3 linked regions of the Saccharomyces cerevisiae S288C genome follow. The gene in region 1 interacts genetically with each later gene. Each region holds a gene or a part of one and is shown on either strand. Other genes may lie near its edges.

Evidence for each region.
Region 2: mutations in UTR2 (region 1) and YDR338C together harm fitness more than expected from each alone (negative genetic interaction), as found in Saccharomyces cerevisiae (2 studies listed by BioGRID).
Region 3: mutations in UTR2 (region 1) and BCH2 together harm fitness more than expected from each alone (negative genetic interaction), as found in Saccharomyces cerevisiae (2 studies listed by BioGRID).

Annotation. Positions count from the first base shown.
Region 1 is NC_001137.3:73,894-82,550, forward strand, and holds UTR2 (chitin transglycosylase UTR2), read left to right. Parts: upstream 1-4,159; coding exon 4,160-5,563; downstream 5,564-8,657. Other genes in the region: GDA1 (guanosine diphosphatase), read left to right, coding at 1-1,434; YEF1 (NADH/NAD(+) kinase), read left to right, coding at 2,051-3,538; CYC7 (cytochrome c), read right to left, coding at 5,743-6,084; putative acireductone synthase UTR4, read left to right, coding at 6,569-7,252; RAD23 (Rad23p), read right to left, coding at 7,514-8,657. UniProt on the Saccharomyces cerevisiae protein: Dual chitinase/transglycosylase that plays a role in cell wall architecture. Chitinase and transglycosylase activities are coupled. Required for the polysaccharide cross-linking at the septa and the cell wall.
Region 2 is NC_001136.10:1,146,879-1,151,635, reverse strand, and holds YDR338C (uncharacterized protein), read left to right. Parts: upstream 1-2,169; coding exon 2,170-4,257; downstream 4,258-4,757. Other genes in the region: rRNA-processing protein FCF1, read left to right, coding at 1,116-1,685; mitochondrial 37S ribosomal protein uS15m MRPS28, read right to left, coding at 4,457-4,757.
Region 3 is NC_001143.9:489,081-494,161, forward strand, and holds BCH2 (Bch2p), read left to right. Parts: upstream 1-2,283; coding exon 2,284-4,581; downstream 4,582-5,081. Other genes in the region: GCN3 (translation initiation factor eIF2B subunit alpha), read right to left, coding at 1-575. UniProt on the Saccharomyces cerevisiae protein: Member of the CHS5-ARF1P-binding proteins (CHAPS) which mediates export of specific cargo proteins, including chitin synthase CHS3.

The sequences.
Region 1 (8,657 bases):
GCTAGTATTCCCAAAACTCCGGAGGACATCTCTATCTTGCCCGTCAATGATGAACCAGGTTACCTTCAAGATTCGAAGACTGAACAAAACTATCCTGAGCTTGCCGATGCTGTGAAGTCACAAACAAGTCAAACATGCAGCGAAGAACATAAGTATGTTATCATGATCGATGCCGGCTCTACCGGTTCCCGAGTACATATATACAAGTTTGACGTCTGTACTTCCCCACCTACATTACTTGATGAAAAATTCGACATGTTAGAGCCTGGTTTATCTTCTTTCGATACCGATTCCGTTGGTGCCGCTAACTCCCTTGACCCATTACTGAAAGTAGCAATGAACTATGTCCCTATTAAGGCAAGAAGTTGTACTCCCGTTGCGGTGAAAGCTACTGCAGGCCTAAGACTCTTGGGTGATGCCAAATCTTCAAAAATTTTGAGCGCTGTAAGGGATCATTTGGAGAAGGACTATCCTTTCCCAGTTGTCGAAGGTGATGGTGTTTCCATCATGGGCGGTGATGAAGAAGGTGTCTTCGCCTGGATTACTACAAACTACCTATTAGGTAATATCGGTGCTAATGGCCCCAAGTTACCTACTGCTGCCGTTTTTGACTTAGGCGGAGGGTCTACACAAATTGTTTTTGAGCCTACTTTCCCAATAAATGAAAAAATGGTCGATGGTGAGCATAAATTTGATTTGAAGTTTGGTGATGAAAATTACACCTTGTACCAATTTTCTCATCTAGGTTACGGTTTGAAGGAAGGAAGAAATAAAGTTAACTCTGTTCTTGTGGAAAATGCATTAAAAGACGGCAAAATATTGAAGGGTGATAACACTAAGACTCATCAATTGTCATCTCCATGCCTACCGCCTAAAGTTAATGCCACAAATGAAAAGGTTACATTAGAATCCAAGGAAACTTATACCATTGACTTTATAGGGCCGGACGAGCCAAGTGGTGCACAATGTAGATTTCTGACTGATGAAATTTTGAATAAAGATGCTCAGTGCCAGTCTCCACCATGCTCTTTCAATGGGGTTCACCAACCTTCTTTAGTTCGTACATTCAAAGAATCGAACGATATCTATATTTTCTCTTATTTCTACGACAGAACCCGTCCATTGGGTATGCCCTTGTCCTTTACTTTGAATGAATTGAACGATTTGGCAAGAATAGTGTGTAAAGGCGAAGAAACTTGGAATAGTGTCTTCAGTGGCATTGCGGGGTCCCTAGATGAATTGGAAAGTGACTCGCACTTCTGTTTGGACTTATCTTTTCAAGTGTCCTTATTACATACGGGATATGACATTCCATTACAAAGAGAATTGAGAACTGGAAAGAAAATTGCCAATAAAGAAATCGGTTGGTGTTTAGGTGCGTCATTACCATTGTTGAAAGCTGATAACTGGAAATGTAAAATTCAATCAGCTTGAATAAGAACATGGACACCGCTTTTCGTCCCATGTATATTAAGGAAGAGGAGATTGCGGTGATATGTATTCTGTTATATGTCCTATTCTATAACCCTTGAACAATATGTAAACGATTTTTACGTTATGAAAATCACTATTATCCCCACAATAGTTTATTATAACACCGCCGCCAAGACAGGGGATTGAAAAGGCCTTCCGAGGTTTATCCATTTTTGGTAAAAGCCCGCCACGCCTTCAGGTGTTTGAGTATGAACTGGAAGAGTTATCTGTTAGGACCTCATAATCTTGAACATATGAGATAATTTAATATACTTTTGTTATGGATTGTTCCGTTGTTTTAAGACTATATGGCTTTGTTTTAGTTTTAGGGTGATTGTGGATATCACACCGGTCCTCAAGAAAATCGAAAACAAAAGGATAATCGGACTTATCTGGTGATCGAAGAAACTGCATTTCAGGTCGTTTAATAAACTGCTAGCTATTGATATTATATATATAAATAAACCTACAATCAGGTTAGTGTATTCATCTCACTTCTATAGCGTTGTGAAAGGGAAATGGAAATAGTGCAATCTCAATAAATCTGCTTACGTGACATTTTTTACTAAAAGAGAATATGAAAACTGATAGATTACTGATTAACGCTTCCCCGGAGACATGTACCAAGGGAGATGCTGAGATGGATACTATGGATACTATTGACAGAATGACATCAGTTAAAGTTTTAGCGGAAGGCAAGGTATTAAGCAACTTCGAAGAACCGGGCTTAATGAGGTGCGGTTATCATGATGCAAAAAACTGGGTCAGAAGATTATCGAGCGAAACAATTGTCGGTGAGGACACGAGTAATTTATACCCATTTTATGTTGATACTGCATACGATGTAAGGCGTTTGAGAAAGGATCTTATAAATGCTAAGGTTGACTTGCAGGTTGAAAACCTGATAATAATCTGCAATATTAATGATATTTCCACTGTATTTCTCATGAGAGAAGTGGTGGAATGGATCTTACGCAATTTCCATTCAATAACTGTATATGTACAAGATATTTTTAAAAAGTCAACTCAGTTTGCTGTTGGTGACCTCTGCAAAGACAGCAATTGCAGTAAAAACAGAGTAAAGTATTGGTCAAAAGAATTTGTTAAAAAACACGATTCATTCTTTGACTTGATGATTACACTAGGGGGTGATGGAACTGTCCTTTTTGCTTCATCTATATTCACGAAAGATGTTCCGCCGATTGTTCCATTTGCCCTTGGATCATTAGGATTTCTAACAAATTTTGAATTTCAAAATTTCAAAGAAACGTTGAAACATATCTTAACAGATGAGGTTCGTATTAATTTACGAATGAGGTTGCAATGCAAACTCTACCGTAGAAATAAACCAGAAATTGATGCCGCAACTGGGAGAAAAATATGTTACATCGATTTCATCTCCGAACATCACGTATTGAACGAAGTAACCATAGATAGAGGTCCAGCTCCTTGTTTATCCCTATTAGAACTCTATGGAAACGACTCACTAATGACTAAGGTTCAGGGAGATGGATTGATTGTTGCCACGCCTACGGGATCCACGGCATACTCATTGAGTGCAGGAGGCTCTTTAATATCGCCAAGCGTAAATGCCATAGCGGTGACGCCTATATGTCCTCATACTTTGAGCTTTAGGCCTATAATTTTACCAGATAGCATGGAATTAAAAGTTAGAGTAGATATGAACTCAAGAGGGACGTCGTGGGTGAATTTTGACGGAAAAGATAGAGTTGAATTGAAACAGGGTGACTATGTTGTGATAACTGCAAGCCCCTATTCGGTACCGACTATCGAGTCATCTGCCAGTGAATTTTTTGAAAGTATCAGTAAAAATCTTAATTGGAATGACCGCGAAGAGCAGAAGCCATTTGCACATATTCTCTCGCCAAAAAATCAAGAAAAATATAGATTAGACTCATCGAAAAATGGAAACGACACCATAAGTAATCCCCTCGAGAGTTCATGCATAAGCTCAGATGCACAAGATGAGGAGAGGAAATCCGTAACGGAAACAGAAACAGAAATAGTTGTTGAACGGACTCGTCAGGCTCATTTTGCAATCTAACGATTTCCCACATCCTGCGTTTCCGTAGTCAAGGGTTCATAATGGATGATGAGCCTGTAAACAGCTTTGTATTTACCTCTTTTACTTCAAGAATGCTCTTGCGTCGTTTGCAGTGTCGAAGAAGATCCAGTAGAGCTATACAAAATGGAGAAATGAAACAGTTGAACCAGAGCGCCGCATTTGGCAGGTAGTTTCGCTAAATTTCCTCATGCGCGTTTGTAATTATGCTAGTTAACCATATGATAAGGTTGCCTAACTTGCAGTCACCGGAAGGTTATTTCCGGAATGGTGCAGAATAATTTTTAAAATAGTAGCATATATTTCGTTCCAATTCCCAAATAGGGAATTATAATTATGACAGATAAATTCCCGATTAGGAAGAAGCGCGAAAATTCTTGAAAAACTTTTTTCAACCTCGAAGAAAATCGTCGTCCTTCGAAGATTTAGTGGGAATCTTCAAGGTGGATAGTTTCCAAATTAAAACTGCAGAAGAGGCTTTTAAAACATGCCTGAGGTATAAAAAGAACAACATTCCTGGTGATTATGGTTTCTGTTGGACCCTGTTCCCTTTGTAAAACTTCTATTTATTGTCCTGCAAATAAGCTAATTATATAATTAATAATGGCAATCGTTAATAGTTGGCTAATTTGTTTAGTCAGTATTTTTTCCTTCGTGGTACGTGTAGAGGCCGCTACATTTTGCAATGCAACTCAAGCATGTCCCGAAGATAAACCATGTTGCTCACAATATGGTGAATGTGGTACTGGTCAATATTGTCTGAACAACTGTGATGTAAGATATTCGTTTAGTCATGATTCATGTATGCCTGTACCTATCTGCAAGAGTTCATCCACTAAATTCAAAGATTATTCCTCTAAGTTGGGGAATGCTAACACTTTCTTAGGAAATGTTAGTGAGGCTGATTGGTTGTATACTGGTGACGTTTTGGATTATGATGATGAAGAAAGTTTAATTTTGGCGATGCCCAAGAACAGTGGTGGTACCGTTCTTTCCTCCACGAGGGCTGTTTGGTATGGTAAGGTCAGTGCTAGAATAAAGACGTCACATCTTGCTGGTGTGGTCACTGGGTTCATTCTGTATTCCGGCGCAGGTGATGAACTTGATTACGAATTCGTCGGTGCTGATCTAGAAACTGCTCAAACCAATTTCTATTGGGAAAGTGTTTTGAACTACACGAATTCTGCCAATATTTCCACTACTGATACATTTGAAAACTACCATACTTACGAATTAGATTGGCACGAAGATTATGTAACATGGTCCATCGATGGTGTCGTCGGTAGAACCTTGTACAAGAACGAAACTTATAACGCCACCACCCAAAAATATCAATACCCACAAACCCCATCCAAGGTGGATATTTCCATTTGGCCAGGTGGTAATTCTACCAACGCTCCAGGAACCATTGCATGGTCTGGTGGTGAAATTAATTGGGACGCATCCGATATCAGCAACCCAGGATATTATTATGCTATTGTCAATGAAGTTAATATCACATGTTATGATCCACCAAGCGATACCAAGAAGAATGGTACTTCTGCTTATGTGTATACTTCGTCCAGTGAATTTTTGGCCAAAGACATTGCTATTACCGATGATGAGGTCATGATGGACAGTGATGAGGGATCTGGCTTGGACCCACATAAGGGAGCTACCACATCTTCCACCCAAAAGAGTTCTTCCTCAACTGCAACCTCTTCCTCCAAAACGTCATCCGATCACAGCAGTTCAACTAAGAAGAGTAGTAAGACTAGTTCCACCGCTTCATCATCATCATCATCATCTTCTTCTTCTTCTTCTTCTTCCTCTACTGCTACTAAGAACGGAGATAAAGTCGTATCCTCCGTATCCTCTTCCGTCACTTCCCAAACTCAAACAACATCTTCTGTAAGCGGAAGCGCCTCCAGCAGTACAAGCTCAATGAGCGGTAATAACGCAGGTGCCAACGTAGCGGCAAACTGGCGTTTGACTGTTTTATGTGTCATCCTAGGTTATGTCTTATAGGAGGATCTGCATCTAAGAACAAATAGGCTACACAGGACTCTCAAAAAAAAATGTATTAATAAATAAAAGAACTTAAATATAGACTTTTTATTCGCATGCATATAAAAATAATTAATTAATAAATAACTGTAAAAAACTAGAATAATAAAAGTAATAAATATCTCCTCCGACGACATAGCCTATTTGGCAGCCTTTGTCATATAAGTAATTAAATCGTTTCTGTCCTTTTCCTTCTTCAACCCGGCAAACGCCATCTTGGTACCAGGAATATATTTCTTTGGGTTCGTCAAGTACTCGGACATACTATCCTCATCCCATTTGACGTTCTTGTTGATGTTTGCATCTGTGTAAGAATAACCCTTTACCTGACCTGAATGTCTACCAAAAATACCATGTAAATTAGGTCCAACTTTGTTAGGACCACCCTCTTCTATTGTATGACACTGCTGACACCTCGTTTTAAACAATGTAGCACCCTTTTTTGCAGAGCCTGGTTTGAATCCCGTACTTTCTTTAGCCATGTTTTGTTTATGATGTAATGTAGTTTACTGAAGTTTACTTAAAGTAATGTGAATAAATGCTTGTATGTGATCTTCTTGTATAAGTCTTTGATTTTGTTTCAACCTCAACAAAAAGAGAACTATTCTGATCTAATCTTCTCGAGCTTCACAACACGATATATATATATGTTGTGTGCCTTTGTCTTTGCCCCTTGCGGCCACTTATAGTAGTTGGAACTTGAATAAATGCCCTCGCTATTATCGCTATTAGCTTTGAGAAGGTGGGAAAAGACCCCTCGGCGGGGGACTGCAGACCCTTCTCAGAGAAGGCACGAAGGAAAATAATTCAATAAGGGGCGCTATAACCCGGCTGCTGATCCATTTCTTTTTTCGTTTCTTTTTCTTCAAGCGGAATGATAATAATAATACCAACGATGACGGTGGTGAGTGGGATGAATATGGAATGGTCATTGGGCAAAAGGTCCTGCTAGCTCGTATACCAAAAATGGGAGACAATTACTCGACTTACTTGCTTGATATTGAAGGGACAGTGTGCCCGATCTCGTTCGTGAAGGAGACTTTATTCCCTTATTTCACGAATAAAGTGCCGCAATTGGTTCAACAGGATACAAGGGACTCCCCGGTTTCCAACATTCTGTCGCAGTTTCACATCGACAATAAGGAGCAGTTGCAGGCGCATATTTTGGAGTTGGTGGCCAAGGATGTGAAGGATCCAATCTTGAAACAGTTGCAAGGCTACGTCTGGGCTCACGGATACGAATCTGGGCAGATTAAGGCGCCCGTTTATGCAGATGCTATTGACTTTATCAAGAGGAAGAAGCGTGTGTTTATCTACTCTAGTGGATCTGTAAAGGCACAGAAATTGCTGTTCGGGTATGTTCAGGATCCCAACGCGCCTGCGCATGATTCGTTGGATTTGAATTCTTATATAGATGGTTATTTCGACATCAACACTTCTGGAAAGAAAACCGAAACACAGTCTTACGCCAACATCTTGCGGGATATCGGTGCGAAGGCTAGCGAGGTACTGTTCTTGAGCGATAATCCATTGGAATTGGACGCAGCGGCCGGCGTTGGAATAGCTACTGGGTTAGCTTCCCGACCTGGTAATGCACCTGTCCCCGATGGGCAAAAGTACCAGGTATACAAGAATTTTGAAACTCTTTAACAAAACTGTATATATGCGCTAAAAGCAGTATAATCATTATTTGTTGTTGTTATTATTATTATTATTGTTATTATTATTATTATTATTATTATTGAGATTAATATTACCATCTCTCTGTTTTCTTTTCTTTCCCTTCTAGCATATATAAATACACATACGTTATTGATTTCTACGTAAGCTTTTTTTTTCCCTTGGCTCAAAAATCATGCAACATTGTCGAGAATAAGTGAAGATACTTCAAGCCATAACATTACTACAATCTCAGTCGGCATGATCGCTGAATAGAATATTTGCTGCAGCTTCTTCGTTTTTATCGCACGCAAAATACACCTGGATAACAAGATCTCTTTCAAAGCCCAATTCACAGAGGCGCGAAATAGCTTGATCGTCTTCGGGGGTATAGTCAACTTGGAAAGAACCTTCACCTTCACCTTGTCCCAGTCCTGCAGCAGCAGCCTCTCCTGTAACTTCTATATCCTCTCCTTCCACCATATCATCCGCACCTTCCATAACATCTTGCATATTGTCACCCACGGCTTCTAGCAACATGGACACAAACACTTCTGGGTTTGCCATGATATGTTCACGTAATTGAGGATATCTAGCACTTATGTTTTCCAACAATGGGGCTAAAGCTTCTGGGTTACCTGAAACGACCTGTCTCAACGATAGTAAATCTTCTACAGTGAGGCCAATGGAACCTGGAGGTCCACCTTGCGCAGCATCTGTAGCTCCTCCAGTTGTGCCAAGCGCACCGGATGAAGCATTACCGCCTTGGGCAGCTTGTGCAAATAAGTCGTCTTCAGCCGGTTGTTCCGCAGTGGTGGCGGCTGTCGATGGTTGTTCCGCTGCGGCGGCTGTTTGTTGCTGTGGTTCCGGTTGACGCAGATTTTCTGGAATACCCATCAGTAGATATTCCACCGCTCTATCTGGATTATTAAAGGCTGCTCTCAAGGCTCGTTCGACTTCCTCTCTTTGGTAGCCCATTTCCATGATTCTCTCGATGGTCTCGTTCCTCTCGGTTCCCACCACGAATCCCGGTGTAGAGGCAGATTCAGTACGTTCTGTAGTGGCGGTTTGTTCTTCTTGCGGTTGTGAGCCTTCGGGAGCAGTGGCTGCAGGAGCTGCAGAAGCATCCGTACTGGGGGATGCTTCTGTAGAATTTTCTCTTCCGGGGGTAGTGGCGCTCTCAGGAGCAATTGGAGGTTCTGTTACTTTGGTCTTCGTGGACTTTTTTTGAGAAACCATGAAGACAACTTGGTCCCCATCTTTTAGCCCGCATTCCGATACGGTTTTGGAATCTTGTAGCACTTTACCCGAGTAGATCAGTTTTATTTGAGATTCTTCACAAGAAATGGATTGAGCAAGCTTGGTCTTGGTCTCTAAAATTGTGTTTGAAGGTTCC
Region 2 (4,757 bases), on another chromosome or scaffold:
CACGATTTTAACGTAGAAAAATACGGGTCAAACAGAACTTGAAAAACATCAACAAAAAGTAAGAAAAAAGTCTTCGTTGTTTCTATTGGAAAAAGAATTAACTGTCATCTATCAACCAAGTTATCAAATTTAATGGAATCTGAAATATAAAGATTGATAATGTGATAGGGTAATGAAAACCATAAAAAACAAAAGGAGAAATAATCGTAATATTATAATGTAGAAATACCGATTTTCTTTACAATGGAATCCCAACAATTATCAAATTGAGAATTGGGTGAATTTTGAGATAATTGTTGGGATTCCATTGTCGATAAAGGCTATAATATTAGGTATACAGAATATACTAGAAATTCTCCTCGAGGATATAGGAATCCCAAAATGGAATCTATATTTCTATACACTAATATTACGATTATTCCTCATTCCGTTTTATATGTTTCATTATCCTATTACATTATCAATCCTTGCACTTCAGCTTCCCCTAACTTCGATGACAGCTTCTCATAACTTATGTCATAATCTAACACCGTATATGATAGTATATTGATACTATAACTATTAGTTGACAGACGATAGTGAATTTTTATTCCAACACTTCTTTCCATGATTTTATTCCTAATCAAGAAAATATAGATTTTCACCATAGTAATGATATAGAAAACTAGAAACACTTTCACTTCAAAGTGTTTCAGTCCCAGTGGCCGAGTGGTTAAGGCGATGCCTGCTATTTCCTCAGAAAAGCAATTAGGCATTGGGTTTTACCTGCGCAGGTTCGAATCCTGTCTGTGACGCACTTTATTTTTTCTACATCCACTATTTTAAAGCTTGATTTTTTTGATTGTGAGCCACCTTCATGTACCTATCGTTTGTGGACTATTGCCATTAATTGCTTATTCACTTGCAATGATTTTATAAACATTACTCAAACTATCGGTTCCTACTGGAAGATATAACAAAAAAATTTGGCATATTTCTAAAGGTATCATTATGAACGGCTAAAATTTTTCAGCTTGCTACTATTCTTGAATGATGCCTCTTTAAACATTACTGTGCATTAACACACAATAACAGTGACTTGTAACGGAAATATCGATATACTACAACAGTTAATTATGGGTAAAGCTAAGAAAACAAGAAAGTTTGGCCTCGTAAAAAGAACTTTGAACACCAAGAAAGACCAAAGATTGAAGAAAAACCAGGAAAATATCAAAACTAAAGAAGACCCTGAGCTAACCAGGAATATACCACAAGTATCAAGTGCACTTTTCTTTCAATACAATCAAGCTATAAAGCCACCTTATCAAGTACTGATAGATACCAATTTTATAAATTTTTCTATCCAGAAAAAAGTCGATATTGTTAGAGGAATGATGGACTGTCTACTCGCAAAATGTAACCCGTTAATCACAGATTGTGTGATGGCAGAGTTAGAAAAATTGGGCCCCAAGTACCGTATCGCCTTGAAACTGGCTCGAGATCCTAGAATAAAGAGACTAAGCTGTTCGCACAAGGGTACGTACGCGGATGACTGTTTAGTGCATCGAGTCTTACAACATAAGTGTTACATCGTAGCTACAAACGATGCCGGCCTGAAACAAAGAATTAGAAAAATCCCTGGAATTCCTTTGATGAGCGTAGGCGGTCACGCATACGTCATTGAAAAATTGCCAGATGTCTTTTAAACTACTGTGTATTCACTCTTTAAGTATGTAGTGCAATGTTTTTGGTTTATATGTATATTAATTTCATAACAACAAGTTCATGGTTTGCCCGTATTGGAGCATGTTTTCAGATGAACTGAAATGCCTAAGGATATTTCTATTTCTTTTCAAGACCATTTACTCAATAATTGCTCTAAAGAAACGCAAATGCAAGGAGAAAAAAGAGGGCGTTTGAGACGCGACCAGTAACAGTTATAAACGGTAACCATTTGGCATCTTTTCATAATATCACTGTCAGCTATTATCCTCTTCCATGGGTTCCACGCGATGCAGAATATTTCTTAAGGAAGTTTTCATCTTCGCGCAAGCAAGGGACAAAACTTGATTGTATTTTTACATAAGCAAGCATATTTGATGCTGAAGAAGTATTATTATAAAAACTAAACATTGGAAAATACACATATAGCATACCTTAATATATACGGATAAAAAAAAGGTTGAAAAAATGGCTGGAATTTTGTCAAAGACTCTTTCAGAAGTGCATCCTTCCCTCCGAACAAATGGTATGGGTATCGGTAACACTCACAGGAGGATATCGCTAGGCTTCCTACCTCCCAACAAGAAGAATCCTCTGGTACGAAAATTTCGTGCAAGAACGAGAAATATTGATCAGAGGAGTTTCAGATCTTTAACAGATGATTTTGGAAGTAACGTCCATGAACCAAATCCGTACTTAGGTAATATTGATGAGGAACCTGACCTTTACTATCATGATGAAGAAGATGGCGAACTGAGCAGAACGATTTCTCTACCATCAAGGGTATCAGAAACTCCTGAGCTTTCGCCACAAGATGTTGATTGGATTCTACATGAACATGAACGACGATACTCATCGGTATGCAACTCTGATAATGAGGAAGCAAGTCAAAGCAACACACCAGATAGAATACAAGAATATTCTGGAAGAGAACTAGAATATGACGAATTTATGAATAGACTCCAAGCTCAGAAACAGAAATTAACTCGAAGTGCGGTAACAGACGCTAAAGGCACCTCACATCACAGAAGACCATCATTCGTATCTGTGACTAGCCGAGGCTCAGTTCCCACAATTTACCAAGAGATCGACGAGAACGATTCTGAGGCACTAGCAGAATTGGCTCACAGCCACGTCACCTTCAAATCAGAAGCAAGAGTTTTGGCATCTTATTCCTTCCCTCTAATTTTCACATTCTTATTGGAACAGATTTTCCCTATGGTATGTTCATTAACTGTGGGCCACTTAGGCAAAAATGAACTAGCAGCTGTGTCCTTAGCATCCATGACTTCTAATATAACACTAGCGATATTCGAGGGTATTGCCACTAGTCTAGATACTCTATGCCCTCAAGCGTATGGCTCTGGGAGATTCTACAGTGTAGGAGTTCACCTTCAACGTTGCATTGCTTTTTCATTGGTCATATATATACCTTTTGCTGTCATGTGGTGGTATTCTGAACCTCTTCTTTCTTATATCATCCCTGAGAAAGAATTAATCAACCTAACGTCACGATTTTTAAGAGTACTAATATTGGGAGCGCCAGCGTATATTTTTTTTGAAAATTTAAAACGATTTTTACAAGCCCAAGGTATTTTCGATGCAGGCATCTACGTTTTGACAATATGTGCTCCCTTAAACGTATTAGTCAGTTACACTCTCGTTTGGAACAAGTACATTGGTGTTGGATTTATTGGGGCTGCAATTGCCGTTGTGCTTAACTTCTGGCTAATGTTTTTCTTACTATTGTTTTATGCATTGTATATTGATGGAAGAAAATGCTGGGGTGGATTCTCAAGGAAGGCTTTCACCCATTGGAATGATTTAGGGCATTTAGCCTTCTCAGGTATTATTATGTTGGAGGCGGAAGAGCTGTCATATGAACTATTGACGTTATTTAGTGCATATTACGGTGTCAGTTATCTAGCAGCTCAGTCGGCAGTATCTACTATGGCTGCATTGCTCTATATGATCCCATTTGCAATAGGTATATCTACCTCTACGAGAATTGCGAACTTCATTGGTGCAAAAAGAACCGATTTCGCGCACATCTCTTCTCAAGTTGGGTTGTCATTTTCGTTTATTGCGGGGTTCATCAATTGCTGCATACTAGTATTTGGACGTAATCTAATCGCCAACATTTACTCAAAAGATCCCGAAGTCATCAAATTAATTGCGCAAGTATTGCCCTTGGTGGGTATTGTGCAAAATTTCGACTCGCTTAATGCCGTTGCTGGGTCTTGCCTCAGGGGTCAAGGCATGCAATCTCTAGGAAGTATAGTAAATTTAATGGCTTACTATCTATTTGGAATTCCCCTGGCTCTCATCCTAAGTTGGTTCTTTGACATGAAATTGTATGGTCTTTGGATTGGTATTGGAAGTGCCATGCTTTTAATTGGGCTAGTTGAGGCTTATTACGTATTATTTCCCGATTGGGACAAAATTATGACCTATGCTGAGATTTTGAAAGAAACCGAAGATGATGAAGTAGATAGCGATGAGTATTTAACAGACTCAGACGATCCTGATGAAAACACAGCCCTCTTAGGGGCTTAATTACAGAGGTATATCCGTATTTTCATTTCTTTATTTGATAGTACACGTGATTGTATACCCAATGCATATATTACTAAGAACTTTTTATAATGATGTAATTCAAAATGAAATAAATTACTGATTCATACGCGGTCAAAAAAAAAAAAAGAATATGACGGTTTCTTATTTACAAGCTTTTCTACATATGATTCAAATTATTCTAAAATGTAGCCCTTTTTTGTTTTCTTATCTCCTTACGCTTTTGATTTGCCACTTTCTTAGAATCTCTTATCAATATTTTATCACCAAAAAATTCATAATCTTGCATGTAACGCCTGTCCATATTGAATTCATCCGTTATGGCCGCATCATTCAATCCTAGTTTTTGAATAGTCCAGTAGTATTTTTCAGGATTATCTCTTTTCAAATATCTTAATATTGCCTGCCTTTGCTGGACTAATATCCTCAAATTTCTGGTGTTAGCAAAATCCTTACGATGCTCTTTAATATGGTTTGCCATA
Region 3 (5,081 bases), on another chromosome or scaffold:
TCAACCTTATCGATTACCGCTCCAACCGCGCTATCGACAATAAGAGTCACGGGTATGCCCTTTTGTTCAAGTAAAGTATATAGCTGGTTCCCTTGTTTGCTAGGTCTTGATTCTGTCACCACACATCTGAACCTAATAAACTTATTTGCTGCATGATTTAATAAAGAAAATACTGCTCTCGAATAACCATGTACCAAGATGATATCATCATCAGCTATGAAATCCACCCCTATTTCTGCAATCTTGTTACGCGATTTTTTGGCTCTCGATACAAAAAGCTGGCCATTTTCAATCAAATGTTGTTTACAGTTTTCCCAATCACCGTATAAATGAAGATTTCTTAAGACAAATCTCATGAAAATATCACAACCGGCTCTCAGGGAAACTGAGTTCGGAATGGATTTAATAAGTTCTTCCGTGGAGCTTTTTATTGTATTAATCATTTCTGCCGCTGTTTCTGGTGTTTTTATTCTTAATAGCGTGACCAATGCTTCAATGGCAGCAATCGGCATTGTCATCTCAGTATCTTCTTCTAAAAACCTTAGATAAGTTTCTGTAATATTAAACTCCGACATCCTTCCTCTCGATTTCTGGTATACGTAGGACTTTTAAAATTCTTTCTATCAATTACTATGAAGAAATCTATGATTAATGATGGCTTTGTCACTATTTGAGCAGTATGATTCTCATTTTACACCATAAACTTCACCAATTTTTTCATTTTTTTTTCATTTTTCTTCCGGATGAAATTTATCTATTGTAAAAAAAAAAAAACATTATGCTATGTAGAAAGCTTTAAATATGGCGACAATGTTGCTGTGTTGTATCAAATTCCCTGGATAGAGTCGTGCACTCTTAATGTGGCGAAAATGATGGCATTGCCTCCTTATTCTTTCTCATAAAAGGTATTACTAATCGTTATCTATTACCAACATAAGATATAGCTAGCAATTCTTGTAAGCACAATTACATATGTTTAGTTTTATTTTGAAAAGCAATACAAGCGCAAATTGTTTGGTCTGTTTTGGAGAGATCACCATGTAGCTGGCACTGCTGCAGATTGTCATGTAGTAAACATACTAGTAAAATATTCTTAAAATAATTTGATCAGATCAGTTTTGTTCTTCTATCTCCTATGTCATAACATACCGCTCATTTTTACTATCGTTATGTTTTTCATTCAGAAATTTTATTTTTCTTTAGGTCTTGAGTATCGACTTCCACAACATTGGATGACTGTACCTCACGATTTGTGTATTCTATTTATGCAGTATGTAATAACATATTAGTGTCACGACCGCTAGCCAATATACGATAGTGGATCTTTATTCCAAAAAATACTTATCTAACATGTTTAACAACAGATCAGATACTAAAACTTTTTGTCTGAATAAGAATTAACTACCATCTATGCACTAGCACACAAATTAGCAGTATGTTCTCATACACAGTGTAAGAAGATGACATTAAGAATGAGAAACGGTTATTAAATATAATAGAAGCTGAAATGCAAGCATTGATAACGTAACAAGATAAAGAATAAGCATATAAAGTAAAAAAACGAGACAATAACATTACTATTCATGAATACCGATTCCTTCTTCCGCATTTCTAATATCCTCGAAGAGAACTTTTAGTATATTGTGTATCATAGCCTTCAACAATAATGGAACACCAGTAATTATCATATTATTCAAACATTTCTCAATGATAGCTTTTATTCACAATGGAACCCAACAATTATTTCAAAATTCACACATTTCTTACTTCTTAGAGCAGGATTAGTTGGGTCTGGTAATTTGAACTACTATATTAGGTAAAAAATCATGCAATAAATAGTGCTGATACTTAGGGTTCTCAATTTTTAATGTCTCTTAATAATTCTTGTTCCTCGTGGCCCAATGGTCACGGCGTCTGGCTACGAACCAGAAGATTCCAGGTTCAAGTCCTGGCGGGGAAGAATTTTTTTACTTTTATAATTTTCTTATTATCTTTTCAGTTATTGAGTAAAAATATTATAATATTGGAAATGCTACGTTGCCAGTCCTGGTGCCGTACAATGCCGTATTATTTTAGCAATTCGTCATCAGGTTTCCGAGGCATTGTTACACCGTTTGGGAAAAATAAGATGTATGCACAATGGTGTATCTAAATTCAACATAAAAATAAAAAAAACAAAATGACAAACGGCAATAAAGAGACATTGTGTGCAAAGAAAGGGCATATATATCAAGTAGTATAAGTAGTAAAGTACAGTTAACAGATCAATTGGCCTCGAGGAATATGAGTTTTTTATGGGGGTCTACAAAGTCCAAGAAAGGCAAGAATAAAAAGGCTGCAGGTTCTCTTCCGTCAGGTGTTGTTCCACAGCAACGTGTGAAACCAACACGTAAAAACGTTCCTATAGATTATCCAAGAACTTTGGAAAAAGTACATGGTGAAAGTTTAATCTTTAGGACGTCCCTTTTAAGTGAATTGGTGAGCACTGGTAAATCTGGTATTGGTCCTCCAGACTTGATTCATTGTACAGAGTTAGATAAATTTCACGATGAGAAAATAGGTGAATTCTTTTACATCACGGGGATCGACGCCTCGAGCGTCTCTATGCCAATTGCATTTTTGAAGCTGATAAAATGGAATGATGGTAAGAAACTAAAATCAGCATCTTTGAAGAACGACGACATCACAACCTACTGCACTTTCAATATCTTTCAAAAATTGGACATTAGATTAAGATATGAATCTGAAGATGTTTATCAAGTTAATATCGTTGACTGTTTAAATGGCAACAATGAAATACCGTTGAGTGATCTTATTTGGGAAGAAACTTTCGTTAGCTGTTGCATAAGAAGCGTAATTATTAATTCAGATTTTGAAAGAAAAATACCTGGGCTAGTGGAATTACCATTTGTTTTTGAGAACAGATGCGCGAGTGATTATAAAAGGGTGATAGATTCGTTATGCAAATTTTTGCCAAGATTTTTAGAATGTGGTTGGGATTCTACAAAGAGCGTCTATGCAACGATACTGAATAACTACCTAACTGAATCATTATTAGTATTTCTGTCTATAACTCCAGAATTCATAACAGACTATGCGATCCAGGTTTTAGACAACTTGATGACGAATGACCCGTCAAATTCTAGATATTACGCTATTGTAATTATTTCTATCATGGAGCGAAGTAATGACCGCGATGTAGAAATGATCAAACGGATACACGAGATATTAGACCTATTACTACCCGTACTGTATGGATTGCCATCCGATGAACCTTACATTTCTGATTTGATCAATTGCATCACCGATGTATTAAGCATCCAAGCAAGGTTTCTATTGAACAATAACGACTATGAACTTTCTTTATCCATTTCCACATTGGCCACGAATTTATCTTCTGATAATTTTGAATCTTGGTATCTGTTATCTAAAGGCTATATTTTTTCACAACAGTATGATAAGGCACTGCTCTCAATCAATTCGATGCCCTGTTTAGCGGAATATGATATCGTTAAACAAGCCCAGATTAACGCTTTTAAGTTTTATATGAACTACTACAAGGCACCACTATGTCATAGCAGAGAACACTGTACCATGACATCACACGAGTTAAATCACCTCATGAATATTATGCATTATGAAAATGAGTTGGAGTTGAAGACAATAATATTTGGACGCACTGTAATGCCCAATGAATCTAAGTATGGATGTATTGAAGAGATATGGAATAAATCCTGTCTTGAATTAGGACCTATTTGTGGACCACAGAGTGACAATCTCATAAACTTTGTATCTCAGCAGGAGGTAAATACAGTAGGAGATATGCTGTTACTAAAACGAAGCAAAGAAACCAGACAAGAGAGTTGGTTTATAAAGCAAGTACGTCTTCTGTTGATGGAATTAGTCGCTAGAATCGGCTGGAACGCCTTACTTCAGCTAAGATCTGACGTTTTCGTTATGGAGAGTAAATTCAAAATGATAGAATCTTCGGACAAGCTGTCCACAGAATTACGCCAGAAGAGGCTCTGTCAGAGATGGTTTGATGCTATGTTTCTGGACGTTTACGAAGATTTAAGTATTAGCACTTCATCTCAAGAAAATAAGGCTACGGCGAAATACAGCGGGTTGGAATGGGAACTACTTGGCTTAACTCTGCTTCGAGTGAGTGACTTACCCGATGCAGTAGCGTGTCTACGAACTAGTATTTTGGCAAGGTTTGACCCTATTAGTTGTCACCATCTGTTGAACTTTTATTTAACCATGGATTTTAATGATGAGTTTATGAGAAGGTTTGACGTCGATATCATTTTAGATCTATTAGTGAAATTGATCTCCTTTCGGATACGATTCTATGATAGATTTCAGATATTTTCCCTTCAAGTACTAAGGAAACTAGAGGGACAGCTGGGCTCCGAAATTATTAAGAATAAAATAATTAATTCTCCTTACGGGCAAGCTGGCATCACTTCGGTGATAGATTATATGCTTGAATGCCTCTCTAAAAATAGGAATGAAGCCTGCCTAGCCTATGAACGCCCTCTTCCAGATCTTCCTTCCACTATCAAACCTCTGGCAGACTAACTGATCAAATTGATTTAATGAATCTATATATATATACTGTGTGTGTGTGTCTGTATTCTTAATGGACAAATTTACGGCGATAATGCTAATACTTTAGCGCGGGTAATATCCTAATAGTAATTTTTCAACGATTTGACAGAGTAAAAAATGACCAGCGTAAAAATAACATCAATACGTCAAGGGTATACTAGACCCTTTTCAGCTCTTTCCTTGTCCATTCGAAGACATATCAAAGATAAGAAAGGTGTTGGATATTTACTATTGTAATTTCACCTTTTATTTCTTTTTTTTTGACGGGCAATTGTTTGTTCGTAATAGATTTTCTATCAAGTCAAGAATTTTTTATTCTTGCAAAGGCCGGCTCACGAATAAAGAGTTGCATTTGCCTTGCAATTCGTACGGTTAATTGTCATTTTTTCTATTTGTATTATAAGATACGAAGGGTACCTCATTGAAGTATTTTCACCTTTAGCATTTTCTTTATCATCTTTTGTTTTGTT